Mus musculus: one gene and its partners. The protein of the gene in region 2 purifies or fractionates together with the protein of the main gene of each other region. This does not show direct contact. Links are inferred from orthologs where the notes say so. Each region holds a gene or a part of one and is shown on either strand. Other genes may lie near its edges. The genes, in order: Dcaf7, Cct3, Tle2 and Nedd1.

Region 1 (7,771 bases), on a different chromosome or scaffold from region 2:
TCCTTCCGCATGACCCCTAGTCAACTGCTTATCTCAGCCCCACAGGGTACTCAACTAGTGAAGCCAGAGAAAGGGACTTGAGGGTGAACAGAAGCCTCCTGCATCTCCTGGGCCTCCGAGGGCCTTCAGGAGACCCAGGCTGAGAACGGTTGGTGAGTCAGTAGACTTCAGAGCACCAGCGCAGTTGTCAACTCCCGGTCAGGGGTCAGGGCTGTGCCCCACAGGCAGTGACTCAGGAAAGCAAACTGCTCGTGGGGTCTAGGGTCCAGTACCCACTGCAGGCACTGAGGGAAGAGAGGAAGGTACAAAGAGGGAAATCTGTGAAATCAAGAAACCAGAAAGGTTAAATTCTTTTCATAAAAAAACTAGCCTGATAGATAAAAAACATACAAAGTTGAGGTTTGTTAAAAGACACTGGTGCCAGGAGGAAAGACAATCTCAAGTTGGCCTTTGTTCCCACTTAAGTGCTAGCACGACACAGATGGGGACACGAGATGGATGACTGCCTCAGCAGCAGACAGACAGACATGGGCAAATGGACACAGACAGAGCCAGTGCTTGTACTGTTTATGAACACAACAGCTGACAAACAAATATACAGAAACGTTTAATTGAAGAAGCAAAGAAGAGGAAAGGAGTGAAAATTTAAAACCCAGCCCTGGGCTGCAGTGGCGCCACACAGCACAGTCCAACACAGACAGCGGGGTAACTGGCCTGGACTTCTACAGCAGCTTCTGAACACAGTGGGTGTAAAGCAGCAGTAGACATACTGGCCACTGGGAACATGTTCTTCTTACATGGGAGGGAAGGGGGCAGAGGCTGAAGCACACAAGCCCCTGCCGGATACGTGAGGTGCCACCAACACTACACGCGGAGTATCTCCAGGCAGTTGTTGTAGCAGATAGCGATCCAGTCAGGCTGAGTGGAGGCCCACTGCACATTGTTGATCTCTCCCTCAGCTGTGTAGGCCAAGATAGGGTCCTCGATGGCCCGAGGCATCTGCTGGATGTCCCAGATGAGGGCCTGATGGTCATCCGCTAGGGAAAAAGCAAGCAAGAATGTCATAGCTCAGGCAATGGGGTAACAATCTTGCATCTGGAGAGGCAGTCACAATTTGTGAAACATTTGTTCATCAAAGCTTTGTGAAAGGGCTTTATTTTAGAGAAGAGGAAACCAAGATTTAGGAATGTCACCAGACTTGCTCCTTCTTGCCATGTAGCCAGTGAGGACCAAATCTAGGTCCTGACTCCATTTCCCAGGTGTCATTAAGCTCCATTTACTATACCAGGGTTAGAGAATTAGATCAGGACATTGCAGTCAGGAATCAGGGAAGGACACGGGATACAATGACCCCAAACTATGATGTTACTGACAGCCACTAAAAATACTTGCGTGGATAAAGATGCTTCTCTGATGACTGTTTCCCAGTTTATGTACATTTACATTTCAATGAGTTACACAGATGGTTGACATAAAGTGCTATATAAACATACAACATTAAAAAAATTCCACCCATGCCTGTAACCCCAGCATTAGGGACTGGGAACAGAGTTAAGTGATAGAGTAACTCTTATCACGTTCAAAGTCCTAGGTCCAATCCCCAGCACCATCAGAAAATAAATAAAAAACCTGAACTATTGCCAATGAATGTGTTTTGCTAGGTGTGGTGGCACATGACTGTAACAGCATTCTGGAGGCAGAGGCAGGGGGACTGCTGCCATTTGGAGCTCAGCCTGATAAATACAGCGGGTCACTACCTGGCAGCATTATCCAGCAAGACCCTATCTCAACAGAATAAATAACAAAACTAACACAAAACCTTAAGACCCACCACAGTCACCTGGCCTGATACTTCCTCCCGCCATGGTTACCTGCAGTACAGATGTGGCAGGACGAGTGTGGGGCCCAGGCAATGCCATTGACACATGCTCGGTGGTTGTTTAGCCTAGCAACCGGTGTGCAGGGAACTCGAACATCCAGAATCACCACCTGCAGAAATACAAGAAAAAGGCCCAATAATTGCAGAGTGTAGCAGGAAAGCACTATCATGAACACAGCACTGTAAGCATGGTCTTTTCCTTTATGGATCCGAGAACACTAGAGATAGGGTTTCCTGATGGAGAAGGGAAGAAAACAATGAGCTAACACAGACCATGTGTTCTCCTTGCTGAGAGATTGGGAGACTATAAAGAGACTGAAGGAGAAGGGGAAGCAGGAACAGGCCACGTGAGTTAGGATAATCTACAAGCATCTTTGCTAAGGGCCTGTGCATCTTAGTTAGGTCTCACATGCCTTATCAATGCACAATCCGGGATGTAAGAACTCTGAGGCACAAGCTGCACCCAAACCAAGGCTAACTACTGTATCCTCTCGACCAACAATCCACCCCTCATAAGAACTAGCAGACCACAGAGCTGCTGTCTGAGCATCTGCCTGGAGAGTCGGCCTAGAACACCAAATGGGAAGGCCTACGCTTTCATTCAGTCCCAGTAACTGTGACTTGGTTTAAATTCTAGTCACTTAGATGTCACTCGTCTAACCCTTTTTTCTTTATCGTGAAATGTTTATTTGCATTTTTAAAATTAGTTATATAACTAATTCATGACAAATTACCAGATGGATTTAATATTATTTCTTCAGGACTAGAGTTTTTCAATGACTTCAAATTTGAAGCTGGGAAACATACGCATACATGTGTTTAAGCTTAAAAGGCTCTTGCACACTCTGGGCCAGGACAGCAAGTCCTCCATATGCCTGTTGCTCTGACTTACACTCTTATCTCATCCTTGAGGTTTCTGTATAGGATCAGCTTCCTTATTAAACACCACATTCCCAAAGAGGGAGGCCACTGAGCAAACGACAGGGACGAGCATGAAGAACTCCAAGAATCATGTTGACTGTGGTGTCTGCACTGAGTCCCAGGCTGCAGACGCACCACCACTCTTCGTCTCAGCTTTACTCTAGCAGAAATGTATGTATTTATTTATTTATTTACTTACTTACTTATTTTTGAGACAGGGTATCTCTATGTGGCCTTGTTGTTCAGGAACTCACTCTGTAGATCAGGCTGGCTTCAAAGTCACAGAGATCTGACTGTCTCTGCCTCCCAAGTGCTGAGATTAAAGGTGTGTGCTAACATGGCCAGCAAAAGTTTATTGGGTTTTGTGTGTGTATGCATTTGTTTTTTGTTTGTTTGTTTGTTGTTGCTTCTTTTTTGTACTGGGGATAGAACTCAGAGCCTTGAGCATGCTAGACAAGCACTCTGCTACTAAGCCACATTCCACCATATCAGAGATCCTTACACAGAAGGCTGTGCAATGGCAGTGAGTTTGCAGTTACCTTAGGATGCACAGTAAGTTCCAAGCTCATCTGGGCTACAGAGACTCTGTCTCACCAAACAAGCAGGGAGAAGGCTCCGAGTCCTTTTGTTGATGGGATCCTCAGTCAGGCCCCACTGGCCCTTGTTGTGCACGGACACTGTTGGGGACTTTGAGGACTGCAGAATGAGAGCAGCCTTCGTAGTCATTACCCATGTGATGCCAGGAAGACTCCACTCTCTATTTTTTTTAACCTCCTCCTTTTATTTTATTTTATTTTATTTTATTTTTTTACTACACACTCTAACTTTTGACAATCAAAAACATCTCCTTATATTTCCAAAGATATCCTGGGCATAAAACTGCCACCATCTAAAAGCTACTCTTGTAAATATACTGGACAGACTGGAGTCAAGGGTCAAGGCTCGGGGCTTACCTCCATCCCGTCCATGGCCATGGTGGCCAGGTAGTTAGGGTCCTGCTTGTTCCAGCAGAGGCGAAGCAGGGGGTGGTGCTGTGGGTCTTCATAAATGATGGTGCTATGTTCCAGATGGCGGAGGTCAAACATTCTCACAGACCCATCAGCGCCCACAGAGGCAAACATGTCCCTGCCCCCTCCAGCGCGGCTGAAGGCGATGTCATAGACCTGTTGGGGAGAAGGTCCAGATTCAGCTCACAGCGTGGACGGCTGTCATTTCCAGACCATCTGAACCCCAACTCACCACACAGCAGGTAAGCGAGTGGCTTCTCAGAGAATACACATCATCCTACCACAGACACTGGCTGACTTCTTCCCATGCCCTGCTTCCTACTTCTCCTCTAAAACCCTGAGATGCTCTCGCTGACTAGCACAGCACACGGGGGTCTGAATAGGACTCTGTATTTTCTGGCTATTAGTGGTTTCACTTACACGCAGTCAGATGCCGATTCACGATAAATCCACATACGGTTCTACCAAGCTGGCCAGCTATAAAACCTAGACCTGAGATCCATTTGTATGAAAAAGGTAACATGACTTTTGGTTTTGTGTTTTTAAGAGGGCAACTGGAGGTATGGCTTGGTGTTTAAGAGTACTTGTTGCTCTTGTTGAAGACCCAGGTTCAGCTACGAGTGATCTGTAACTCTGGAATGGAGGATGACACCCCCTTCTGGCCTTCTCATACTATACACACATGTGGTACAAGGACATACATACATACAGGCAAACACCCATACACATAAAATAAAAATAAATAAATCTTAAAAAATAAAATCTCTTGTGGCCCAGGTTGGTTGGATACGTGGTAAGGGCTGTGGTGTGTGTGTGTGTGTATGTATGTGTGTGTGTGTATGTATGTGTGTGTGTGTGTGTGTGTCCGTCCGTCCGTCCGTCCTTATGTAGTAGAACAGCACCAGACAAAGCCTTTGTCTATCTAGTGCGTCAGGCCTAAGAAGACAGGGTCTTGTTATGTAGCCCAGGCTGGCAAGCTTTAGACGGTTTTATCTTTACCTCCTATGCACTAGAATCACAGGCATCCAGGAACCCATCACTCTTTCCTTTTCCTGTTGTTTTAAGACAGGGTCTCATATATTCCAGGTTAGTCTTAAACTTGCTATAATATAGCCCAAGATGACTAAGAACTCTTGATCCGGGCTGGAGAGATGGCTCGGTTAAGAGCACCAACTGCTCTTCTGAAGGTCCTGAGTTCAAATCCCAGCAACCACATGGTGGCTCACAACCATCCGTAATGAGATCTGACATCCTCTTCTGGTGCATCTGAAGACAGCTACAGTGTGCTTAGATATAATAATAAATAAATCTTAAAAAAAAAAAAAAAAAAACCTCTTGATCCTCCTGCATCTGCCATTCAAGTGATAGGAGTACAGACATGTGTCACTATACCTGGCCCTTTTGAATCAGTCAATCTTACATAGAGTATTTTTTATGGTTAGAGGAAAAGGGGTTAGTATATTGATCAGAAATAGATGAGGATCTACTAGCAGTATTTGTCCCTGAGTATCAAGAGTGGACAAAGGACCTACTTTTTTTTTTTTTAAAGATTTGTATTTTATCTATATGAGTATTTTGGCTCCTTGTATGTATGTGGACTGCATGAATAGCTAGCATCTGCAGAGGTCAGAAGAGGGCATAGAATTCCCTGGAACTAGAATTATAGATGGTTGTGAGCTGCCATGTAGGTGTTGGATTGAATCTGGGTTCTCAGGAAGGGCAGTCAGGCTCTTAACCACTAAGCCATCTTTTCAACCCCAGACCTTACTTTTTATTTATTTATTTTTATTTTTATCTTTTTTTGGTTTTTCAAGACAGGGTTTCTCTGTATAGCCCTGGCTGTCCTGGAACTCAGAAATCCGCCTGCCTCTGCCTCCTGAGTGCTGGGATTAAAGGTGTTTTTTTAGTTTTCAAGACAGCATTTCTCTGTTCCTGGCTGTCCTGGAACTTGATCTGTAGACAAGGCTGGCCTCAAATCAGAGAACCACCCGCTTCTGCCTCCTGGATTAAAGGTGTATGTTACCCCAGCCTGGCTTCAGATCCTCCATTTTTAGTGAGATATTCTTATCTTCCACCCTGATGTCAGTTGTCATTATTACCAAGATTCTAAAAAGTTTGTTCTGTGTTTGGCATCTGCTGTCCTGTTGGCTCTAGGTAATCCTCAGGCAGAGACACCAGGAATGCCCACTGTGTGGCTCGGAGCAGAGACTCTCTCAGCCTAGGTAACTGCTCTGCTATCTATCTGTGCTCTACCTGTGGGGTTCATCATGAAAGAGGAAAGGTGGCAACTTCCAATGCACTAAACTCTCCTCTACTACACCTGCCAGGCAGCAAACCTTCCCTCCTCCTCTCTCACCACATGCACACGCACACACACACACGCGCGCACACACACACACACACACACACACACACACACACACACACACACACACACACGGCTTTCCCTCAGACAGATCTGCCATCCCCAGGCTCCTTCCTTCAGGTCTGCCATTTGCTTTGATCCATTCCTGCTCCTCTTGCTCTTCTCTGGGTCACAGAGACCTGACTGCTACAGGTCAAGTTTGGATGGGCCCCAAATTTGCTGTCTGCTTCTAGATAGTTTAGACAAAGGAATGAATCAGAGGTAGGAAATTGGATTCTGGGACATTTCCACAAGTTCTTTTAGTGGTCATCTCTGCAGACACACTCTGCATTTGACCCTTGGCTTAGCAGGAGTCAAGTCCCATAGTCTTGCAAAAGAGCTTCCTCTCAGGAGAGCAGAACACCAAAGATCAAACCCTCGGAATGGCTACCTGGCTCCATGATACTCTGTTGATGGCCTTAAGGCATCGTTTCTCCTATACAAACCCTGATACTACTCGCACTGCAGGTGAAGGGGCAGCAAAGGAACTAAGACAGGGGCACAGGCACTGTGGAAGCAGACTTATGCTGGCTTCCCCAGTCACCAGAGGAACGCTCCCCTCGCTTTCCTGATAAACAGCGGAAACACCACCAATAAACACACTTGCCTCCTAACAGGACCGACCGAAAGTAGAAAGAGTAAGTAAATGTACTAGAGTTCACAAGCTGGTTTCAGAGAAAAGTGGTTAATTACGATTGTCTGTCATGAAATTTTCCTCCTTCCTGTTTCCCCCCACCTCTGAGAAGCCATTACATTCAGAGAGAAGTGTTACTCTAAACAGCTCCTAGGATATCTATAAGAGACTTCATCTAAAAAAAAAAAGCAACAAACTTTGATATGAAAGGAGAAATGAGACTCTAGGTTAGGTGGTTAGAGTCATTTAATGATGCACGTTGGGGGTGGGGGGAGGTAGCTCAGCCATGGGGTAAAAGCACCTGCTGTTCATGCCTGACAACTTGAGCTCACTCCTTGGAACCACAGTGGGAGGAGACATCTGCCTGACTCCTAACGCGTGCACCATGGTACACACGTGCCTGCACATATACACACTTTCTCTCTCTCATAATAATAGCAATAAATAAAACATGTTTTAAAGGGTGCATCCAATAAGTGTTGTTTTCTGTTTTAACACATTATAATTTACATGCCAACATTATGATCTACATAGCCTGCAACAGCGTGAGAACACTAAGTGCTCTGTTCTCACCTGCAGGTGCAGACAGCATAGGAGAAAAGGAAAACATTACCTCTTTGTCATGGGCAATTAGCTGGGTCTTCACATGGCCAGACACGAGATTCACTCGTCCCAGCACTTGCCCGGTCTCTAGTCCCCAGATGGTGCACGTTGTGTCAATGCTTGAGGTACCTGCGGACATCAGAGCATGTCAGAGACATACAGACTCCCCCTGCTCTGCTCGGCACAAGGGACAACAGGCCACAACCACGTCCTGAACATTCATTTTTGTCTTTTGTGGTAGGGAGGAGAGTTTCTTGAGACATGGTACCCTGGTGTAGTTCAGGCTGACCTTGAACTCAGGACCTCCCGGCCTGCACTGCACC
Region 2 (8,213 bases):
CTAGGCCCCACTGAAACCTTGATATCACACTTACAGCTTCAGTTCATGGGAAAATTACGTTTCTAGTGCATCACCTTATTTTGTGGTGCTGGGAATTGAATCTAAGTCCTTCTGAATGAGAAAGATGCACTGTAACAGAGATATATCTTCTAGCCTCCCTTTGTGAGACAAATTATTGATACATAGCTCAGACTGTCCTCCAATTACTCTTCTGTCTTCATGCTGAGAAGACAGGCATATACCACATCTGGAGTTTGTTTTTTAAGACAACCATAGCAGACTAGGCAGGCATAATGTTCTGAACCTATTGTCCCAAATACTCAGAGGCTTTGAACCTGCAAAATTAATCTCAAATCCCTAATCCTCCTACCTTTACCACCTAAATACTGAGATTAGAGGCACACTGCCATCATGCCTTGATAACCCTTGGATTTCAGACAGGGTTATTTTAGCCCAGGATGATTTTGAACTCATGATCCTACTTCTTCTACCTCTGGTCCCAAAGTGCTGAGATTAGAGGCATACAACACTATGCCCAGGTATCTATATGTACCTGAATAGGTTCTTGGTATTTGTAAAACTGTTAGAAAGGAGGTGAGAAAACAAAACAACAAAACCAAACACACCTCTCGAAGAATGGCATTGCCATCATTGGTCATCACGATGCCTCCCATTGGGTCCAAAAGCATCTAAGAAAAAGCAAAAGTGTTACAGATAACAAAAAAAGGAGGACATGGGGTTTGAATTCCAATAAAAGGTAGTCCAACCTTCATCATAGATTTAGGTCCCAAGCAGGTCCGGATGATGTCTGCAATTGTCTGTTGGTAAGGAAACACAAAACAAGAAGCACAGCAGAGAATAATGTGAGTGTTTCTAATAACCATTGTTTTGTTTTAAACAGGGTTTACCTAGGTAGCTCCGACTGGCCCTGAAGTCAGAGACAGGCCTGCTTCTGATTCTCGATGATAGGATTAAAGGCATACTCTACCATGCCCAGTGCATAGCCAGTGTTTTAAAGACTTATTTTTATGGGTATGAGTGTTTTGCCTAAATATATGTTTGTGCTTCAAATACATGCCTGGTGACCAAAGAGGCCTGAAGAGCATGTTGGATACCCTAGAACTGGAGTTACAGGAGGTTGTAAGCTACCACCTGGGTTCGGGGAATCAAATCTACGTCTTCTGCAAGAGTAGCAAATACTTGGGGCTCAAGAGATGGCTCAGTGGTTAAGAGCACTGACTGCTCTTCCAGAGGTCCTGAGTTCAATTCTCATCAACCACATGGTGGCTCACAACCATCTGTTATGGGATCTGATGCCCTCTTCCAGTATGTCTAATAGTGTGGTGGTGCATGCCTTTAATCCCAGCACTCGGGAGGCAGAGGCAGGCTTATTTCTGAGTTCGAGGCCAGCCTGTTTTACAGACTGAGTTCCAGGACAGCCAGAGCCACACAGAGAAATCCTGTCTTGAAAAAAACAAACAAACAAACAAACAAACAAACAAAAAAGAGTAGCAAGTGTTCTTAACTATTCAGCCATCTCTCCAGCCAGTGCCACTGTTTAACAATGGCACTTAACGACGAGAATGGTAACTATTTTAGACACAACAAATAAATTTTCAGAAGCTATTTCAGTTTTAGTGTCCTAAGAGTTCAGCATTAATACTTTTATTGACAGTGGCCTCTGGTCCACATGAAATCAAGACTTCTAATCATTCACTCAAAAATATACTTACTGAGCTCAGAGTGGTGGCACATGATTTTAGCCCCAGGATTTGGGAGACAGAGGCAAGTAGATCCATGAGTTCAAGGACAACCTACTATACGCAGTAAATTCTAGGCTACCCAAACAAGAGGGGACAGGGCTCTTTCAGAGGACCTAGATTAAAGTCCTAGCACTGATACGGGAACTTTCACAATGGCCTGTAGCTCCGGTTTCAGGGGGATCTGACCACCTCCTCTATGCTTCCATGCCATGTACACACATACATACATGCATGGAGGCAAAACACTCCAACAGTAAAGTAAAACAAGCAAATCTTTTAAAAACCTCCCTTCCTGTATCACCACCAGGGAAATGCCTTGGAAAAAAAAAGCAAGTTTTCCTCTGCTCATTGTATGAAGTACAGAACCATAGGAAGTTTGCTACTACCAATAAGGAAGTATTAGGAGAGTCAGCCAGAACAAACTGCTGTTATCTCATAAAACATGCACTACCTTTGCAGCATTGATATTTCCAGACTGAACTTTTCTTCCAGATTCACGCTTTGTGTTCTGACCTAAAACAGACAAAAACACATGTCAACAGCCCAGTGTACACAATCATTTTATTTCCTAACTTAAAAAAAATGCTACATTTTAATGTATATATCAGGTGTACAAATGCTTGGCAAAACTGTGAGGTCAGAAAACAACTTTCAGAGTTAATTTTCTTTCTATCACATGGGTGCCAGGGATCAAACTTGGTCATCCAAGTCAGGTAGGGTGGTGCATGCCTTTGACCCCAGCACTTACGGCAGAGTCAGGAGTATCTCTGTGACTTGGCATATATATAGAGAACCTGCCTCAAATGAAACAAACAAACAAACAAACAAACAAACAAAAATAGCAACAACAAAAAGACCTCCAGTTATTATTAGGCTTAGTGTCAGGAGCTTTTTTTTTTTTTTTAAACCTGTTGAGCCATCCTACCACCAACCCTATTCATCAAGTTTTGAAAATAAAAATAAATACAAAGTTTTCAGTGTATAACCAGCAGTCAATTACAACTGTTTAAGGTTGAGCGTGGTAGCATATGCCTTTAATCCGAGCACTGATGCAGATGGATTTCTGTGACTTGAACACCAACCAACTTGGTTTATAAAGTGAGTTAGTTCCAGGCTAGCCAGTTACGAAGTGAGATGGCCTGGTAGTTAAAACCTTTGGAAGCTCTTGCAGAGATCTCTGCATTCATTTCCAGCACCAACATGGTAGCTCACAATCATCTCTAACTACAGTTCCAGGGGATCTGATGTCCTTTTCTGGTGTCTGCAGGCACAGACATAGAGGCAGGCAAAAAACACAGATAATGAGAGAACCCCCGGTATAATAAGAGATAACCTGAAATGCTTCAACTTCATAGTCTTGACCAGTACTTTCCTTGTATGCATGCTTACATATTTCCAGTGATTCATATCTTGAGTGCCCTGAATGGGCCTCAGTAGGACAGTGATTTTTCACAAGACTGCACACCCCTTACAACATCCCCGGGAAGAGGAGCCACAGAGTCTCAAAGATTAGTGACCAAGAAAGTCTGCTTGTGAGGCTGGAAAGATGGTTCAGCTTCAATTCCCAGCCCCTCAAGGTGGCTCACAACTGCCTGTAACTCCAATTCCAGGGAATCTTGGTGCCATACACAGACGAAAACAAACAAAATATCAATCACAAGCCAAGGAATCTCACGATAGAACAGGAAAAAGACTAAAGCCTGAGAGCCACCCTGTAGGTAAACTTCTCTCAGGAGACTAGAGCAGAAAATAATGACTTCTTACAAATCTGGCCTGCTGCTTAAAACCTCATGGACTCGTCTACGAGTGTGTAGGAGAGGTAGTGTCACTGAACACCTTTGTCTCTCCTCCCAGTGTGGCCAGACTAAATCTGTTTTTCTCTTTACTATGTTTAACTTTGACCCAGGCTTACTGAGTTATTCTCAATAGCTCAGGTAACTGACAAGGAACTGGTGCTCTTTACTGAGATGAGTGGCGTTCCCTAAAGAGGAAAGAAAACCAGGAAAGGAATTTGGGAGAACTGGCTGGTGGGAAAGATCACATCCAAGATCGGGAACGCCAGGAATGTCATTTCCGAACAAGGGTTGCTGAATGACCGCTACTGAAAAGATGCCACTTCCGATTCGATCTGCCGGTAAAGGCAGCTTTTACTTATCAACTTAACAACTCTACTACAGCCTCCTAAATACTGATGCTAAAGTATCAATCAAGCGAGTTGCCGTTAAGTCACGCCTCTACGGAGGGATGGACCGAGCATAGGAAGCAAGGCCTACCGTTAAGAACCATCATTACTATCTACACGGAAATCATGCTGTAAAGGACACGGGGGCGTGGAGGGTGGCGACTAAAGAACCGAACGCGAATAGGATGAAGCACACGTAAAGACTAGCGACTCCGAGAGCGGAAAGTCATTTTGTCAAAAGAAGGCGACAGGAGAGGCAAGAGAAGAAAAGTGGGGAAGGAGCTTGGTCCAAGGCGAAAAGACCACTGGAAGGCACGAGGGCCGAGTCATGGCGGGACGGAGCTGGGCAACACTGGCCAGCTTGGGGAGAGAGGGGCGGAGAGAGACATCCCTTCCCTGAACTCACTGAGCACGAGCACTGGACGGTGGCCCATCATGGCGGCACGACGCAGAGCCGACTCTCCAGAGCTGGGGGGAATCGGCAGAACCTTCTGGAGAGAAGAGCAGCGAAGAAAACGCTGCCTCCTCAGGAATGACACAGAAACCTGCTAACCTCTGAAGTGCCGCCAATCACCAAACTCATTTTATTGATTGACAAAAACATAGGCCAATCGACAGTATTAGCCCCGCCCTCTACGCAAGAAAGGCAAGGCAAGTTAGATAGAGAGGGCATGATGTAGGGGACTGGGAGACGCAAGCGCTTGCGCACTGGCGTGGCCGCTCCCGGCCGCGTGCGGCCAGAATGTCTGCGCAAGCGCCAAAGCACGGGCAGTTAGCTGGCTCGCTACAGCGCATGAGTACCCACTAGAGGGTGGGTGCTGGGGTGGAGGCTTTGGATTAATGCTGTAGGTAAGATCATGAAGCTCTGTTTTGTCCATCGGTTCTCGTCCGACCGTGAAGGCCAAGGAAGGCATGATAGTTCTCTACTTTTTATTTCAGCCTTAGCGGTAGGGAGGAGTAGAGGAGCCAGAAATACCCGTCGTGGCCCGAGAGATTGAGGCAGTGTAAAAGTGGAAGTTGTCCTACGGGGCGGGGAGGCAACGACTCGGCTCCCCGCCTCCCCGGAGCATGCTGGGAGTTGTGGTTTACTGCTCTAGACGCGCTGGTTTTCTTTTTTAAAGAAAAGGAAGGAAAATTCTTGTTCTTTAGATGTACCTATTTTTTATTTTATGTGTATGGTTGTTTTGCCTGTGCGTATGTAGGTGCACCACTTGTGAGAGGCGATCAAGCGGGAGTCTGATCCTCTGGAACTGGAATTGATTGTGAACCGCCACGTGGGTGCTAGGAAGTAACCCTGTCTGCGGGACCATCTATTGCTCTTAACTGTTGAGCTATCTCTCCTGTCCTAATGTCTTACTTCTTAGAAAAATACGTTGAGTCTAAGGCAAAAAGACATAAAGGAGGATCGCTCACATTTCCCCCGAATATCCTAAGTCGTGTTTCTTGCAGTATTATGAGTCTTCTTCGCCCCCTCCCCCCCAGCCTGGTCACTGGTTAGTGACAAAAGAAACTAGAGTTTTTGTTTTTTTAATTACCGTATTATCTTTACCAGAGTTCTAAGGCTGGCCTAAAACTCGTCGTAAAGACCAGGCTGATCTCAAACTGGAGACAAGCCTCTTGCCAGATCACCCCATATAGGAAAAAGACAAAACAAAACAACAAAAAAAATAAGGCTAGTAATTAAACAGAAGTCTCAAAGAGTCATGACATGTTTGTGATAGATTTAAAGTTCGTATTTGGTATGCTTTGTCTTCTGCAGTGAAAAGGCACTAACAAAAACTGCCGAAGGGAATTGGAGAAAAATTAACAATTTCAGAACAGTTGTTTGTTTGGTGTGGTAGCACACCCCTGTAATAAACTCCAGAGGCTGAGTCAAGAGGATAGCGATTTTCAGTGGCTTCAGTCTCCCTGGACCACATAAGGGAGGCAGCCTGGAGGGAAGGCTCAGTGGGCTTAGAGGGTATATTGCTCTTGCAGAGAACCTCAGCACAATTCCTTGAACTGATGTCTGGCTGCTCACAGTCACCTCTCACTCAAGGGAGATCTACTCATATATGTACATATTCACATAATTAAAACTTAAAAATTTTACATTTAAAACCAGACACCTCTATGAGATAGTGTATACACTGTTATATACTGTTACACTTCGGGCTTTCAGGGGAGTGCTTAGGAAAGAAGACACTGTTGTTTGACCATGTGACCCTATTATTCTTTCCCAGGCACCAGACCTGTTGCTGTCAAGATGGAGCAGCACACTAGTAACCCTACTAAGGAAAAAGGTGTGTCACAGCCCCTGTGTCCCCTCCCTCAGAAGCCAGCCTTCCCCATTCACTCAGGGTTTCAGAAATGAAACTAAGGAAAAAGGTGTGTCACAGCCCCTGTGTCCCCTCCCTCAGAAGCCAGCCTTCCCCATTCACTCAGGGTTTCAGAAATGAAACTAAGGAAAAAGGTGTGTCACAGCCCCTGTGTCCCCTCCCTCAGAAGCCAGCCTTCCCCATTCACTCAGGGTTTCAGAAATGAAACTAAGGAAAAAGGTGTGTCACAGCCCCTGTGTCCCCTCCCTCAGAAGCCAGCCTTCCCCATTCACTCAGGGTTTCAGAAATGACTAAACATTTGCCACTAAACAGTGGCCTGCTACTTGGTTACTTGGAAAGTACTTGTGGGATATTTTTGGGTAAAGGAGATAGGTTTAACTTTGCTGGCTATGGAACTCACTATCCTTACTTGAGACAACCCTTTTGCCAGAACAGTCACATCCCAGGGATTATAGGTATGACCTACTGTGTCCAGCTTTTTTTCTTTTCTTTTCTTTTTCCTTCTTTCTTCTTTTTAAAAGAGTTGTTATATAGACCAGCATGTCCTCAAACTCGAAACAGTCCTGCTACAGCCTTCCCAGCTGCTGAGTTGACAGGCATGTACTACCTACCTGACTTTGATGAGTTATTTTTATAGCACTTGTAAAGTGTCACTAAGTAGATCACAGCTTTGCTGCCTAGAGACCCTGGCTTAATTCCATGCAACTGCCATGTGCCAGTTGTGGAATCCTGACCAAATTTTATTAACATGGGATTCCTCAAGTACAATGCTGCTAATACTGGCTACCTAGGACCATTGAAAAGGATATGTCGGGGCACTGCAGAGGTGGCTCGGTGGGTAAAGTCCTTGCTATGCATACCTGAGGATCTGAGTGTGGCTCCTCTAAATCATATAAAAGGCCAGATATGAGCCGGGCGTGGTGGCGCATGCCTTTAATCTCAGCACTCAGGAGACAGAGGCAGGCAGATTTCTGAGTTCGAGGCCAGCCTGGTCTACAGAGTGAGTTCCAGGACAGCCAGGGCTATACAGAGAAACCCTGTCTCGAAAAACAAAAAAAACCAAACAAACAAAAAAAAAAAAGCCAGATATGGTGGCATATGTCTGTATCCCAGTACTTATGGAGGCAGGGACATAGAGTAAACAGGTAGATCCCTGATGGCTATTGATGAGACAGTCTAGCTGAAATGATAAGTTCCAGGTTTGGTGAGAGACCCTTACTCAGCAAAATAAAGCAAGGCTGGGTGTGGTGAGTTCCAGAACATCAGGGGCTACAGAGAAAACCTGAACCAACCCCTCCAATAAAACAAAAAAGAAAAAAATAAAGTGGAAGGGACAGGAGAGATGGTTAAGAGCACTGGCTACTCTTCCAGAGGACACAGGTTCAATTCCTAGCACCCCTACATGGCAGCTCACAGCTTTCTATAACTCCAGTTTCAGAGGCTCTGAATGCTGATACCCTCTTCTGGTCTCGGAGAGCACCATACACATGAAACTAAATAAATGGAGAGCAATTGAGGAAGATACCTGATGTAGACCTCTGGTTTCCACATACATGCACATACACAAGCACACACAGAAGAAACATGTATGTGTACGTATGTATGATACATACACATGTATCAGAAGCTGAACATGGTGATCTTCACCTGTAAACCTAGGCCTCAGAGTCTGAATATTGCTGCAAATTCCAGAGCAGCCTGAGTTACACAGACCCTGTCTAAAAAAAATATGTATGTGTGTAGTTTCATACGTGTAGTACCAGCACTTAAGAAGCAGAGGCAAGAGGATAGTCATAGAATCAAAGACAGCCTGGGATACCAGGCTGACGTGAGGTCAGGCCAGCCAGGACTGCCTCTCTAGACCCTGTGTCAGAGAGCTGGCTCAAGAGTTAAGAGCAAGGGCTGGTGAGATGGCTCAATGGGTAAGAGCACCCGACTGCTCTTCCAAAG
Region 3 (7,300 bases), on a different chromosome or scaffold from region 2:
TCACTGGTCCCCAACCCAATGTCACCTTCTTGAATTCAGGACCAACCGTCAGAGCCCCCCAGCCCTGTGACCACCCCTTGTGGGAAGGCGCCCCTCTGCATTCCTGCCCGCAGGGACCTCACAGACAGTCCAGCCTCCTTGGCCTCCAGTTTGGGCTCACCACTCCCCAGAAGCAAAGACATAGCCCTGGTAAGGAAGGCAGGGTGCCTGAAGCCCCTTTTATTCGTCCCAGGGTGCAAACAGTTCAGTGAGCAAGCCAGCCGGGCCGGGCCAGGGCAGTCTGCATTTTCTTATTCATTTTGTTTGCTTGCTTTTGTTTGGTTTGGTTTTGCTTGTTGGTTTTTGGTTTTGTTTTGTTTGGGAGACAATATTTCTTAGCCTCCAACTCTTTACGTAGTCTAGGATGACACTGAATCCCAACCCTCCTGCCTCCCTTACCACAAAGGACCTTTTTTTTTTTTTGATTCTTTGGGCTTCTCTTTTCCCCTCCCACACGTCTCTGTTGAGCCTCAGGAAACTACTTTAAAGCAGCTAGTTGACCAAGCTGGGCAAAGAAATAGGACTGAGTCAGGTTACTCGCTTTCTGCAATGGTGACCCCCACAACCACAGCACCGGCTCCTCGCTGGTCTAAGACTTGGTACCAGTGTTAAGTGCTCCTAGAATCCAGCAGAGGCGTCCACTAGATGCACGGAAGTCTAACTCTCTCCCTGCATCTTGCCCAGACCCTCTGTCCTCCAAGTTACCCAGGGACAGAGATTTGTTTCTAAGCCTCCCTACCCCTGCAGGTTACCATGACAACTGCCAGCCACCGTGGGCTCCCACTTTATCTAAACTCCTCCCCACTCAGAGAGACCTTGGGGATGCAAAGCCACTCTAGCCAGCTGGGGAAGCCATCAAGGGCATCCCTCAGACCACGAGGGTCACCGTCACCCTGTGTGGGAGACAGACACAGGCCAGAAGGCATGGCGGCTCCCCATGGTGGCACATGTCAGCCCAACACTGAGAGGTTGGAGGTGGAAGAACAGGAATGTAAAGTCAGTCCAGGGCTAGCCTTGGCTACCTGAGCCCTGTCTCATGAAACATGCTCCCAAAAAGAGGTGGGTGACATGTTTCACCTAGGGCTGAGGACCCCTCTTGGGCCAATAGTCCCATTGCTCTGGGAGCTGTGATTTTTGTTAATTGCCTTTTGAGACAGGGTCTCGCTATATAGACCAGATTGGCCCAGGACTCAGAGATCCACCCACCTCTGGAGAACTAGGATTAAAGGTTGCACCACCACATGTGGCCATGTCTAAATTAAAACATTTTTTAAAGCCAGGTGGTGGTGGTGCGTGTCTTTAATCACGGCACACAGGAGGATCTCTGAATCTGAGGACAGCATGGTCTACAGAGTGAGTTAGAAAGACAGAGCTAAACAGAAAGACACTGTCTTGAAAAACCAAATAAAAAATTTTTTTTTTTTAAAAACTTTGTGTGTGTGTGTATCTACACAAGTGCTGTAGTATGCATTTGGTGGTTAGCGTCAACTCTGGGGAGTCTGTTCTCTCCTTCTACTGTGTGGGTTTTGGGGATTCAATACAGAGTGTAACTCTTGGCTAAAATCACTTTTACTTGCTGAGCCATTTTGCCAGTCCAATAGCCTCTAACGTTGCTGCTGCTATCTATTGGTAACACAATTGCTGTCCCCAAGGGCCCCCACCTCTATGCATGAACCCTGTACTGTGGACCCAATTAACACCCACAATCCTGAGGATGTAGTTATACCCCTGACCCAGTCACACCCAGCTTTCCTCTGTGTGCCCACCAAATGTCTGAGAGATTGGCTGGCCACAGTACATGTGCCCTCGATCCCCTCTGATGACTTCAGCCCGCTATGGTGATTCGTGGCCTTTCTTTCTCCACAGAACGATCTTCCCACAGGCACTCCTGCCTCCAGGTCATGTGGTACCTCTCCACCCCAGGACTCGTCCACCCCGGGGCCCAGCTCAGCCAGTCACCTCTGCCAGCTGGCGGCTCAGCCGGCAGCACCCACAGACAGCATCGGTGAGTCCCCACCTGCCCAGCATAGCTCCCCCAAACAGAAATGATGAGAGTTGGCACACGACTTTAATCCTGGGTGGGTTAGAGGCCACCCTGGGCTACATAGTGAAACCATGTCTGAAAAAAAAAAAAAAGGTGGTAAGAGCCAGCCTTGGCTTAGAGAGGGGTTCTGAGAGAAGGGGTGTCTGGGAGCGCTGAAAACAAATGAAGTCAAACAGTGGGTCCAAGCTGGTGGCCTGTGTTGTTCTCTGTCCTGTCCTTTCTTCCTGACCTGCTTTCTTTGGAGATCTCCAGTCAGGCGCCCCCCCCCCCCTTTTTCTGCTTGAGACAGTTCTCCAAGAACTTTTCTCTTGGTATTCTAAAACCTTTCTCTGGTTAGCTCATCTCCTGCAGGTCATAAGCCCAGGCTTTTATTTTCCGTGTCAACCCAGTCGTTTACTTCCTCTTGATTATCCTATGAACCCTGTGACCCCAGCCCCTTAATCTTTAGGAGACAGCAAGCACACATTTCCTTTTAACATTGCAAAAAGGATTTAGAGATCTGCCTGCCTCTGTTAAGCATAGATGCTGAGCTAGCTGGGGAGTGGGGGGAACCCTCCCCCCCTACACACACCTGAAATTACCATTTTTACCACATCTGGGCCTGGAGTCTGTATTCCAGGCTGACTTTGAACTCAGGAGTCTGCTTGCTTTTTTATCATTCTGACAAGCTGGCTCCTAGTGTAGCTACCTCTGTTCCTTTAGATTCATGAGGCTCCTTATACAATTTTTATTGCATCCTTATATTTTTGCATAGTTGAGAAATTATGTATTTTCAAACTTGGGTTTTTAGAGTTCTTTCCCACAGCCTTAAAGACTGTCCTGAAGGTTCCTGAGTTTACCATTTTGCTAAGATATTGGCTACACCTTCCGCTCCTGGACTCAGAGATGTCTGATTATCATGGAGTCACTCCTGTTAACAGGGAGGACATTCCTTAAAGGAGGAATGTAATATCTATCTGTTAGTATGCACGCAAGTCTTTTGGCCTTGGCAGCCTTCGACGCTTTTGGAGACCACATCTGCTTGCCCTGTCCCAGGAGCAGGAACCTTGTCAGTCTGTCCCTACCAAGGCCATGCCAAAGGAAAAAAAGATAAAGGGCTAGAGAAGCTGACTGACAGCACACCCCAAATTTACCACCTGGAACTGCTTATAACCCCCGACCGGGTGCTGCCTGGCTCTGGGCTCAGTTTCTTTGTTGCTGCTGCTTAGGTGAGGACACTGAAGCCCAGAACACCAATGTGACTTTCCCAGTTTAATGATTGTGAGACAAACGTGTGCCTTCACTAGCTGTGTGACCTCAGGCTAGTCGCCCAGCCTCTCTGAGCCTTGGCTTTTCCTCTCACTGGGTCTGGGTTTTTGAAAGACTTTGTTCATCAGCTGAAGGCAGGGAAAGTGTGGTTTGGGTATCTGAGTGTGTGTCCCTTTTCACTCAGCCCTGAGGAGTCCCCTGACCTTGTCCAGCCCTTTCACCTCATCCTTCAGCCTGGGCTCCCACAGCACCCTCAATGGGGACCTCTCCATGCCTGGCTCCTATGTCGGCCTCCACCTGTCCCCCCAGGTCAGCAGCTCTGTCGTGTATGGACGCTCACCTCTGGTGAGTCCTTGGGGAATGGAGCACCAGGATAGTCAGCAGAGTTCAGAGATCTGGGGGGTGGGGAAGGAGGAGGAGAAACCAACTCACCCAAAGAATAAGTAAAGAGAGAGGCTGAGACTGAACTCAGTGGTAGGGCGCTCGCCTGGCACGCACAAAGCCCCAGGTACATACCCAGCACCATATAAACCAGGCATGTGGTGCCAGCCTGTCACCCCAGCATTCAGGAGGCAAACGCAGGACAATCAGAAGTTCTAGGCCAGCCTAAACCACACATTAAGTTAGCACTTGCCATGTGGGCAAAACAAAAGGAATAAAGCTGGGTTAAAAAGCCTGGCCCAGGAGGTTACTTAAAAAAAATCCAAATAGCAATTTTGCAAGCATTTCTGCTTGCTTGGGGAGGGGCCGAGGGACAGAGGGGTGTGGGCTGGGGCCTGGGTGAAGAGGTGCTGGCCCCCCTGCCCTGGGACTCTCTGTTCTCCAGCAGATGGCATTTGAATCGCACCCCCATCTCCGAGGCTCGTCTGTCTCCTTGCCTGGCATCCCTGTGGCTAAGCCGTGAGTAGCACATGGGCTGGGCCATCTCCAGGGTGTGTTGGAGGCCTGGGTCCCTTCTTCCTGGGAATGTCCCCTGGGTTACACCTTGAGTGCCTGTCACTGGCAGTGTGGGTACCTGTGCTGGGGTTAGCCACCCACCCACCTGTCTCTGCGGCCTCCACAGGGCTTACTCCTTCCACGTGTCTGCGGATGGCCAGATGCAGCCTGTGCCCTTCCCGTCTGATGCTCTGGTAGGCACAGGCATCCCTCGCCACGCAAGGCAGCTACACACGCTGGCCCACGGTGAGGTGGTGTGTGCCGTCACCATCAGCAGCTCCACACAGCACGTGTACACAGGCGGCAAAGGATGCGTGAAGGTGTGGGACGTGGGCCAGCCGGGTAGCAAGACCCCTGTGGCACAGCTGGATTGCCTGGTGAGGGTGGGGCCTGTGCGGCTGGGTAAGGGTTTGGGGTGGGGGCGTTGGGCAGGGTCTTTAGGGTTAGGGCGGGGTTTACAAGGCTGGGTGGGGTTTGTAGGGGCTAAGCCAGGTCTTTAGGGTCAGGGCGGGGCCTACAGTAACGCATGGATCTGTGGAGACCTGGGGGAGTACCAACCCTGCCTGGCCCTGCTTCTCGCCGTGGTAGAACCGAGACAACTACATCCGCTCCTGCAAGCTGCTGCCCGACGGGCAGAGCCTGATTGTAGGTGGCGAGGCCAGTACCCTGTCCATTTGGGACCTGGCAGCACCCACACCACGGATCAAAGCAGAGCTGACTTCGTCTGCCCCGGCCTGCTATGCTCTGGCCGTCAGTCCGGACGCCAAGGTCTGCTTCTCCTGCTGCAGCGACGGTAACATCGTGGTCTGGGACCTGCAGAACCAGGCCATGGTCAGGTGTGTGGGGCGGCCCCGGGGGTGGTGAGTGCACAGGTGACTGCAGTCTTGGACGTCTGCTCTCGCCCTGTAGACAGTTCCAGGGCCACACGGACGGGGCCAGCTGCATCGACATATCAGACTACGGGACCCGGCTGTGGACTGGGGGCCTGGACAACACTGTGCGCTGCTGGGACCTGCGCGAGGGCCGCCAGCTTCAGCAGCATGACTTCAGTTCCCAGGTGCGCTCACAATCCTCGGCCTCCCCGAGGGTGTCCCTACCCGGCCTGAAACCGGATAGGACACGGGGACTGAGGAGACAGCTTGGTGGGTAAAGTATTTGCCTTGATGGCAGGAGTTCAAATCTCTAGAATCCACATAAAAAGCCAGACAGACATAAAAAACCTGCCTATAACCCTGGGCATGCCGAGAGCTGGAGGGTCAGAATAGTCAGTGGGAGACGGACTGCCTTACATACGCCTTTAAAAATAAGATTTACTTATTTTACTTATATGAGTACACTGTAGCTGTCTTCAGACACACCAGAAGAGGGCATCGGATCCCATTATAGATGGTTGTGAGCCACCATGTGGTTGCTGGGAATTGAATTCAGGACCTTTCTTCAGCCCAGGACATGTCTTTAATTCCAGCAATGGGAGGCAGAGCAGGTGGATCTCTGTGAGTCCCAGGGTGGTCAGAGCTGCATAGTGAGACAGTCTCAACCCACCCCCAAATACAAATACAAATAAAAAACCACTGCTAGACTAAGAGTGACTGCAGCTTCTACCCCTGATCCTGACTCCCCATCAGTCAGAAGCAGGACACAGTCAAGGCTCAGCCCTGGACCTTGAGCCACCTGTAGAGCCAGCTCCCTCTGCCCAGAATCTCAAGGTGCTGTGTTCCTCTGATGAATGCTAAGGTGTGACACCTGTCACTGGCCACCTTCTTGTCCCCATTTGGGGCACCCCTGGGCCTTCTTCCAGCATCATGTGTGACCCCAGGGTCTCAGCACTCTCTCTCTTGACCTAGATTTTCTCATTGGGCCACTGTCCCAATCAGGACTGGTTGGCTGTGGGGATGGAGAGCAGCCACGTGGAGGTCCTGCATGTGCGCAAGCCTGAGAAGTACCAGCTCCGCCTCCATGAGAGCTGCGTGCTGTCACTCAAGTTCGCTTCCTGTGGTACAAGCCTGGGAGACCCCTTGGCACAGCAGAGGGAGGGTGGATGGATGGGGGTGAAGCCTTAAATTAGATAACGAATTACCCAGGCCTGCCCACCCAGCTGCTTATTCAGGTCAAAGCCAGTTTAGATAAATGCACAGACACATTTAAAAAAAAAAAGATGGACCAGGCGAGGTGACTTGCATGCCTTTAATTCCAGTACTCGGGAGGCAGAGACAGGTAGATCTGAGTTCAAGGCTAGCCTGGCCTGTAGAGCCAGTTCAGGACAGCCAGGTCCACACAGAAAAACTGTCTCAAAAAAAAAAAAAGACAGCTATCAAGGACACTCCATGTTGCCTGGCAGCTCTCAGCTTTTTGATACTGCATAGTAGGCGGCTTCAGGAAGGAGTGAATTTCTAAGGTTTCCTACCCTGGTGGTCACTCCCATCCTCCCCTCTGCCCCCTCCCCTTCCCATCTCAGGACGCTGGTTTGTGAGCACAGGCAAGGACAACCTGCTCAATGCCTGGAGGACACCCTATGGGGCCAGCATTTTTCAGGTACCTGGTCTCCCCCAAATGGAGGCCAGCTCGACATTTCCTGTCCTAGACACTTCCTGTTACAGAGTCCCACACTTTGGGTCCCTCTGTGTACCACAGTGGATTTATTATAAGTACACTGTAGCTGTCTTCAGACACACCAGAAGAGGGAATCAGATCTCATTACAGATTGTAAGCCACCATGTGGTTGCTGGAATTTGAACTCAGGACCTCTGGAAAAGCAGTCAGTGATTTTAACCGCTGAGCCATCTCACTAGCCCTAGGTGGCAATTTCTAATAAGTCTCTTGAACCTTCAATGGATGTGCTATAGTGGTCTTTCACATTTCCTGTCCTTCCTAACCATCAAAGACCCCAGGAGTCTCCAATCCAGAGCAGTACCATTATCAACCCTTCACATGTCAGGGATACCCCTGTCCCTCCAGGACACGGTGACACAGATCTGTAATCTTAGCACTTGGAAGGATGGGGCAGAAGTATGGTTGGTTTGAGAGAGAATGAGG
Region 4 (7,771 bases), on a different chromosome or scaffold from region 2:
CTGGGGAGGAAACCAACAGGGGAGTCATTGGACTTAAGGTCCAGTCAACAGGAGGGAACTCGTGCCAAATTCAGTAAAGCTGGCCAAGACCTCATGGCCGGTGAGATCACAGGCACTAGAGGAGGACCGACTACTGCCATTTCCTTACATTAATACATCTTGCGACTGTATTCAGAAGCTTCAGATAGTCTTACATAGTCACTCACAACTTCCACCAAGGAAAAGCGAGTCAGGAGGAAGCAAGCAAGGCCACCTGAGCAGCTGAGCTTCCAGTCAGTCGGCGCTGGGAACTGAGAACAGCTAACTAGCTATAGCAGAGCCTTAACTAACAACTAACAACTAACTTAACAACTTAACAACTAACTAGCTATAGCAGAGCCTTAACTGAGGAGGATACCACATAAGTCGGGGACCATGGGCTGCAAAACAGACTTTAGCACCACACGGGAGGGCAGACGGGTAAGAAGAGGCTATAACTAATTTGTATGTTACTAATAGGTCACACTAAAGTTTATCAATTTGCTATGGCGTCAACACCAAATACAACATATCCACCTTAAAAGACCTTACTGGAACCACGTCTCTAGACATGTTCAAAGAATGTTAGCCAACGAAGACTCATTAAGGTATTTTTCATTCTTTTAAGAAAAAAAATTTAAACTATTTTTTTAACCAAGGAAAATATCTAATTGACTAATTTTTCTTTTAAAAGGTTTCCATAAAGATTTCCATACTAACCTGAAAATGTATGAGTTGGCTTTGATTATTTTAACTACCACATACTTTAAAAGAAAAAAAAAAAAAAAGCTGTTTGTTTGGTTTTTTTCAAAATTTACTTGCCTCTACCTAAACACAATAATTCCCTGTCCACAAGCACTAAGAATGAATGCACTTATCCATCTTATGGCCAATACAGGTTGAAGGTTGCAATACTTCTGTATCAGAAATGCATTTTAGAATTGTGCTATCTGAAAATATTTTCATTTTGTTAGAAATACAGATATAGTATAGAAAGACTACATAGTTAACTATATAAGTGAATTCATACAAGCACTCTAGTATTACATTACAAATTAGCTAGTTTTCCAGAAAGCTAAATAAAACTTATAAATGTTAAAAAACTTAAACTTACTTTCTTATGTAAAATAATTCAAATTATAAGTTATTAATTTTATTTTTATAAAAACAAAAAACAAACAAAAGACAAAACACCATACCTGCTTACTCCCATGGCCAAAAGGTGTGCTGGATGTATTAGTGGTTACACTGTGTAAGATAATCTCACCACTGAGAGACCCAGAAGCAATGTAACAGTCATTCCAATTGTATGCCACACAAGTTACTTCACATTTATGATCCTGAAAGAAACACAGTGAAGAAGAGCAGCCATTAACCCCCATATTTTGATGAAAAGAGTATGGCTGTTAATCAATACCTGGGCTAAGAGTTTCCTTCAAACACAACAGCACTGAGCTGATTAGGACACCACAGAATCCACAGAGTCTTAAGAGACAATTTTTCAGAACCATCTTACATGTCCACAGAGTCTGAAACATTAACAGTCTAGAACGGTAACTGGCTTAATGCTCACCTTCCAGAACCGCCTGCCTTCCAGTGATGTTGATAACATTTATTTCAAGTTAAACATTTGCTCTTGAGTATTATTGTTCAACTAGAAGACACTAAAATCAGCTCCAAAATGACAGTAAATGAAGAGTGGCATCAAGGGAACACAAGGAGGAAACAGACATCACTGTCAACTGACTTAGAGACATACAACAGAATCCAACCTTAAAGAAAGAAGAAGAGTGGGGACTGGTAGTACACACTTGTAATCCCTACACTAAAGAGGACCGTGAGTTCACTGTACCACATAGAATTCTAGGTTAGCCTGAGCTATATAGTGAGGTCTAGTCGCAAAAGACAAACAAGCAAATAAACAAAAGATCATAGGTGAGTTAGAGATAGGAAAGGAAGAAAAGCAAACATAGCAAAGGAGGAGAAAAAGTAACAGGTCAGCCTGAGACAGCAGATATCAGTGCTCCCACTGGGGCATCACACACTAACTAGCCAATCTTTAAAACTCTTAAGAGGCAATGTCATTTTCCCCATCTACAGATGAGGCACATGAGACATGAAAGCATAAGAGACTGGTGCATCTCACATATGTGCTAAGTGACAGACTAGGATTCAGCTCCAAGACAATCTCCAGGGCCCTTGGCCCTCCCAAAAGAGACTGTCTCCCAAACACGCACAGCATCTACTCTGAGGGATTAAAAAGACTTACAAGACTTTAGTTTACAAGGTTTGCTTCCAAGCATCAAATTGGACATGTAGCAGGACATGTAACCCTGATGTGAGTTACAAGGGTGGCATTTTTGTTTTGTTTTTTTAACAATTTTAGTATTCTGTCATTTACTAAGATAAATATCCTAAACTTGATACAAAACAAGTAATGGACATCACACTGCAGTACAACTTTATCAGGTGATTCCCCACTTCTATCACAGCACAAATGCCTGAGGGGAAAACTGATGGGCAGTGCTGACCTAGGGAATTAAGAGCGTGTCATTCAACAGAATGTCTGTGCCTCTGGAAACAAGCACTGTCTTCCCAATTTCCATTGTGGAAAATACATCGCCAGGAAACACTATGCACTAACCAATGCCAGAGATTGTTTCACATCACCAGGGATAAGAGCGTAGATAAAGAACTCAGGGCGGAAAAAAAAAGTCTCATGGATGGGGAAATACGACTTAAAATAGACAATAAAGCATTCTATGAATTCCAAATGATGTGAAAACAAAAGGTTGTCTGCATTACGAAAATGGAGGAGAGGAAATGAGTAGAAGGTTGCCATATAGGAATCAAGCAAGCGAAAGCCAAAAACTCTGACAATCTGGTCCAAGACTCAGCTCTTTCAGTTTGGTAAGATACTCCCTATACAAAATAGGCATATCCCTCTAAGCAGTGTGAATTCACATAGTGCACAACTGAAAGACTGACCAAAGAGCAAGGTGTGTATTTGCACAGACCGCCACTGTGGAGTGGAGAGAATACATATTCTTTGACATCTAACTCGCATGAGAATGTTTGCTGCTTTGCAGTCACTGAACTAAACAGTAAGCACTCGCAAGCTAGCATAGTAAGGAACGACGAGACAAAAGCTAACTATTTCATTAGTAGCAACTCTTCAGTTTCCTATTTTATTCTAAAAAGAGTTTAAATACACTTCAAAGTTTAGCTAGGCATAAAACTATAAATTTCCAAAGGTGCCACAAAGCTACTACAAGATCCCATCTCAATTTAACTTTAAGAGAGAAGAGGAAGAAAAACAAAAACCAAATGTCTGGTATATCCTACAAACAGTCCAACGACGGGTGAGGACACAGATGAAACATTACTGGCCACAAAATGCCTACTAATATCAGATAATGAGTAACATGGTTAACAAACAGTTAAAGGGAGGTCTTCTCTGTGTATATAGGAGAGTACATAGATACAACTATTTAAATTTTTATATTAACTACTTATAAGTGACAAACTTAGAAATAACTTTGTAATACCTTCTAAATACTTAAAAAAGCTGGATGTCAAGCTACGGAAGTCTTGACCACACTTTCCTGAGATGAATATGTTTATTTTTTGAAACTACAAAGAGCTACCTAAGGGAACACTGATTTTAATTAGTAAATTATTTTAAGAACTATTCCATTTCCAAGTTTAAAAATATGCAAGCAAAAATATCATCAACAGTAGAAGCCAAACCCACTGAAGAACCAAGAAGCTGAACCATCAACTCTGGTTACTGAAGTCCAGAACCACACACATTTTCCCAAAATCCTTAAAAACAAGATCCCTGATGACAAAACCACACTTAAGAAAAAGAAAACCTCGAAGAATACTTCATTCAAAACAATAGAAACACATAAAAAATAAAGAAAAGGCAACATGAATCAACAATTTTTATGAGGAAAACTTTCAGCCAGACAGCACCCGTATCTCCCCAATAAAGCCCACTTTGACGCTAAAGCATCCAATATCGAGGACAAGGTTTGGTAACCATCCAAACAGGGTGTGAGCTACCCATTCCATAAATATTTATGATATATTTGCTTACCTTAAGAGACCGATGAAGTCGTTTGGACTTTAAATCCCAAATATTAACAGTGTTATTTAGGCCTCCACTTGCCAAATACATTGATGTAGAATTTAAATCGACACATGTCTGCTTTTGCTATTTAAACAAACAAACAAACAAAATTAGCCTAACAGAGTGCAGAGATGATCATAAGCAATCTACTTGCACTGCAAATCAAAGTTTCCTAATAGCCATTAAAATAACTTTTAAAATAAGTAGATAAAGATGGTTTCCACCAAAGGTTGATATATTGGATGCCAGCTGTCACAGGTATAATTATTGTTAAGGGTTCAGAATAAAACCCATACTTAAGATTAGCTTACCTTGTTGGTAGAAGACCTTTAATGTATTTTAATGAATCTAATGAACTTAAATAATTAATAGAAATTGTATGGTATTATAGGAATACTGTATCTACAAGATAAAAATATTAAAACGTAGTTTTTAAATCTAAAAACAAGGTGATCAAATTTCAAAGTTATTTTGTAGCCCACAATAGCCATTATAATATCGTTAATACCAATCTGTCCACTTCAAAGAGGAAAACAAGAAATTAAAAACAAAACCAGGAACCTAAATTTTCATTCTAAAAATATTTTAAAATAAGTAGGATGGGAATTTCTTTCCCCAAGTGTAAAGGCACAATAGCTCAAGTAGCATGTGAGTTAACAAAGCTGGGGGCCCACAAAATAATGACTACAGCCCTAACATGGTAAAAGAAGTTCTTAATAAATTCCTTTATTAAAAAAACTGCTTGCAAAAAGCTCTTATAACTGTAGCACATTCAAACTTAGAACTCTAATGAACATTTCTTCACCTGCTTTATAATGTAATGCCTTAAAGTGGGAAGGGCTAAAATTATACAAATGAACAGGAATATTCACCAAGTTCTCAGAATGACTCACATCTGTATCTGTCATCTGCTATAGTATTAAAGCAAAAATAGAATCGGAAGTATCAAAGTACAAAGTATACTACTTTTCTTTAATGGGAGGAATTGGACTTGGTTTAACTCAGGCCTTTGATCCAAACACTAAAGAAGCAGAGGCAGGAGGATCTCGACGACTTCAAGGCCAGCCTGGTCTAAATACCAAGTTCCAGGTACTAAACAGCAGCCAGAACTACACAAGAGACTCTGTCCAAATAAACAAACACATAATCAAATAAGTTAAAAAAAACAAGTGGGCAGAGGCGCTAAACGCTGACTTGAAAACCCAGTGTGACAAAGCCCAGCCAGTTGTGAGAGTTGGAGGAACTGACCTGGCTTTAATATTAAATTCAACAGCAGCTTGCTGGCCACCCTGAAGGGACCCAAAAGTCCCAAGATCGCTATCACTCCCATCTTGAAGAGTTCGGTAGCCCAGTCTGCCTCAAACTCCCCCTGTACCTTTGTCTCTAAGCCTCCACACCTGTGCTGGAAGTGAAATTTAAGTTTACCAAATGAATGAATGAATAAGTAAAAAAGGAAAAAGCAGCAGCAGCAAGGAGCGACAAGGACCTTGTCGTTAGGTGCCACTCTCTTTGAAGAATAGCTTTTTGAATGTGAGACTGGAAATGAGGAAAATGGTGTTATCCTGAATAAACTTTTAAAAACACAGGGATAAAGAAATACCCAGTGAGAGCGAGAGTGTCCCTGTGTGCCGTGGGCCCAGAACTCCCTGAACGCCCTACCCCTCCACTCCAGCCTTAAGGAAGCACATCCTTGAGTGCTGAGTGCTCGTCATCTAAAGCAGAAGGCTACCTGCAGAACCAGACCCTGCTGCTGCTGCTGCACCCACAGGCAACAGGAACACTTACATCATGAGGGTTCACAAGGTCAAGTCAACCTAGTGGCCTAGTCGTGCACTGACAAAAGGGGAAACAGAGAGAGTCCCTTCCTAATGAAATCTAAGGCCTAAACTGCTCTCCTAAATCATTATAATCTCACCTATCAACCTCTCGGTAACCCCACCTGTTACTGTATTATTCAGAGTTTAGATGAAAAATGTTTTTAAACAAAGACGCATAACAAACAAGTCACGGTCACTTAAGCAAAGCGAGATTGTAAGCAGGTTAAAAGCATGTAACTTACCCCTTCCGCAAGCTCCAAAAGTGGAACGGGCTTACATTTGCAACTTGACACCACTATTTTGTCACCACTGGAAGAAGCTGTCACTAGAAAGTTATCTAAATGAAGAGTTAAGCAGCATCAAGCAGTCCATGGGCACCCGGGACACCCAACTACAGTCTCAGGAGCACAGTCATGTAAGCCAGCATAGAGACCAGTACACAAATGCGGCTCATATACCAGCTTTCAAAATGATTCCGGCTACCAACTACTGATTCTCTTTTCCAGGTCTGCAGGGATAACCATCCCTCTGACTACGCTATCATTTGAAAGATACTTAGCCCATGAGAAACACTACTCCCTTCCCAGAGTGGGCCAGGTCTAAGTTTACCCTTTCAGATGTGAGAACATGAGAAATGCAACAAACAGAAATAATAATCAGCTTTTTCATATACAAAATCTGTTGAGGGACTATTCTATCGATCAAGCGCTCAGTATCATCTTCAGCATCCACATCACTTTCCTACTTCTTCCAACTGAAAAATGAAGACTGTTCTTTTCTCAGGATTAGAATCACTGCTGTAGACGCTTCAACTATGAATATATTATTAATGAATATTATAGAGCATATAGTAAACATGATTGGGTATGGTCAAATAAAATCTATGTATGCTATGCAAATTTGAATTATTTTCAGTTAATCTTAAAACTTTTATTTTACTCTATATTAATTATACATGGGTAATAAGTAAGTATAAAACAACATATATTAAACCAAAATGATTAAATAATTTAACCAAGAATAAGAGTCTGGTTTGGAAAGTCACAGCACGTTAAAATATCATAGTGCTTTACATTGATTTGTATGTGTGTGCGCACATCCACACATCACATTCCAAGGGTGAAAGGCAGAGGACAACTCACAGACGTCATTCTCTCCTCCCACCGACTGGGTCAGCTCATCAGGTTCAGCAAAGAGCATAGGAATTTTAGACTTTCTACTTTTAGTAAGCAAAGTCTATGCATGGAAACAACGGAAGCAGCTAGGTAATTCTTATTCCATTATTTTGACATTGTGCAGAGTATCCTGGTATTTTATGACTAGATCACAAGTTTTGGGGGGCTTCTGTAGCCTAGAACAACCTTCAAACTCCGGTCCTCCTGCTTCCACTTTGCAAAGGCTAAGGTTACAGGTGTGTACCACTGTGCCTGACTTAACATCATGCTTCCAATCAGGCTTCACTCCTGCTGGGCAAGCCTCTACCAACTGAGCTACACCCCAGACAGAGCACTACTTTAAAAAGATAAGAAAGTTTATTTAGTTTGAACCAGGTCTGAACTCCACTGGAGTCAAGGCTAAGAGTATCATCTTCTACCCTAAGAATGGAGTCTCCAAGTAGCAGCTAAGCCATCAACAGGTACCAATCTTCATAAGAACCGAGTCCAATTCTCTGGCTTGTGGACTGTCAAATGAATCAGCACAGTGCCGAAATCCAGAGCGAGTCGCCAATGCCCTCTCTCCTAATATAACCACAGGCTTGCTTTTGCAAGTGCTGAGTGGAGCTAGAGGGCAATCCACACAC

Evidence for each region.
Region 1: the proteins of Cct3 (region 2) and Dcaf7 purify together in Homo sapiens (affinity purification with mass spectrometry; 4 studies listed by BioGRID and IntAct, counting the BioPlex papers as one, with this or other methods). This does not show direct contact. The link is inferred for Mus musculus from reciprocal best matches to the Homo sapiens genes CCT3 and DCAF7.
Region 3: the proteins of Cct3 (region 2) and Tle2 purify together in Homo sapiens (affinity purification with mass spectrometry; 3 studies listed by BioGRID and IntAct, with this or other methods). This does not show direct contact. The link is inferred for Mus musculus from reciprocal best matches to the Homo sapiens genes CCT3 and TLE2.
Region 4: the proteins of Cct3 (region 2) and Nedd1 purify together in Homo sapiens (affinity purification with mass spectrometry; 3 studies listed by BioGRID and IntAct, with this or other methods). This does not show direct contact. The link is inferred for Mus musculus from reciprocal best matches to the Homo sapiens genes CCT3 and NEDD1.

The regions. Positions count from the first base shown.
Region 1 is NC_000077.6:106,047,949-106,055,719, reverse strand, and holds part of Dcaf7 (DDB1- and CUL4-associated factor 7), read right to left. Parts: intron 7,578-7,771; coding exon 7,459-7,577; intron 3,964-7,458; coding exon 3,754-3,963; intron 3,033-3,753; exon of another isoform or gene 2,792-3,032; intron 1,990-2,791; coding exon 1,872-1,989; intron 1,038-1,871; coding exon 865-1,037; 3' UTR 1-864. UniProt on the Homo sapiens protein: Involved in craniofacial development. Acts upstream of the EDN1 pathway and is required for formation of the upper jaw equivalent, the palatoquadrate. The activity required for EDN1 pathway function differs between the first and second arches.
Region 2 is NC_000069.6:88,293,405-88,301,617, reverse strand, and holds the start of Cct3 (T-complex protein 1 subunit gamma), read right to left. Parts: upstream 4,484-8,213; 5' UTR 4,383-4,483; coding exon 4,352-4,382; intron 2,277-4,351; coding exon 2,215-2,276; intron 819-2,214; coding exon 768-818; intron 690-767; coding exon 627-689; intron 1-626. Other genes in the region: Tsacc (TSSK6-activating co-chaperone protein), read left to right, coding at 6,191-6,227, 6,785-6,859. UniProt on the Homo sapiens protein: Component of the chaperonin-containing T-complex (TRiC), a molecular chaperone complex that assists the folding of actin, tubulin and other proteins upon ATP hydrolysis.
Region 3 is NC_000076.6:81,582,698-81,589,997, forward strand, and holds part of Tle2 (transducin-like enhancer protein 2), read left to right. Parts: intron 1-39; coding exon 40-189; intron 190-1,905; coding exon 1,906-2,044; intron 2,045-3,515; coding exon 3,516-3,676; intron 3,677-4,157; coding exon 4,158-4,231; intron 4,232-4,394; coding exon 4,395-4,644; intron 4,645-4,855; coding exon 4,856-5,103; intron 5,104-5,176; coding exon 5,177-5,324; intron 5,325-6,111; coding exon 6,112-6,262; intron 6,263-6,722; coding exon 6,723-6,799; intron 6,800-7,300.
Region 4 is NC_000076.6:92,709,954-92,717,724, forward strand, and holds part of Nedd1 (protein NEDD1), read right to left. Parts: intron 6,308-7,771; coding exon 6,213-6,307; intron 4,238-6,212; coding exon 4,121-4,237; intron 1,359-4,120; coding exon 1,218-1,358; intron 1-1,217. UniProt on the Homo sapiens protein: Required for mitosis progression. Promotes the nucleation of microtubules from the spindle.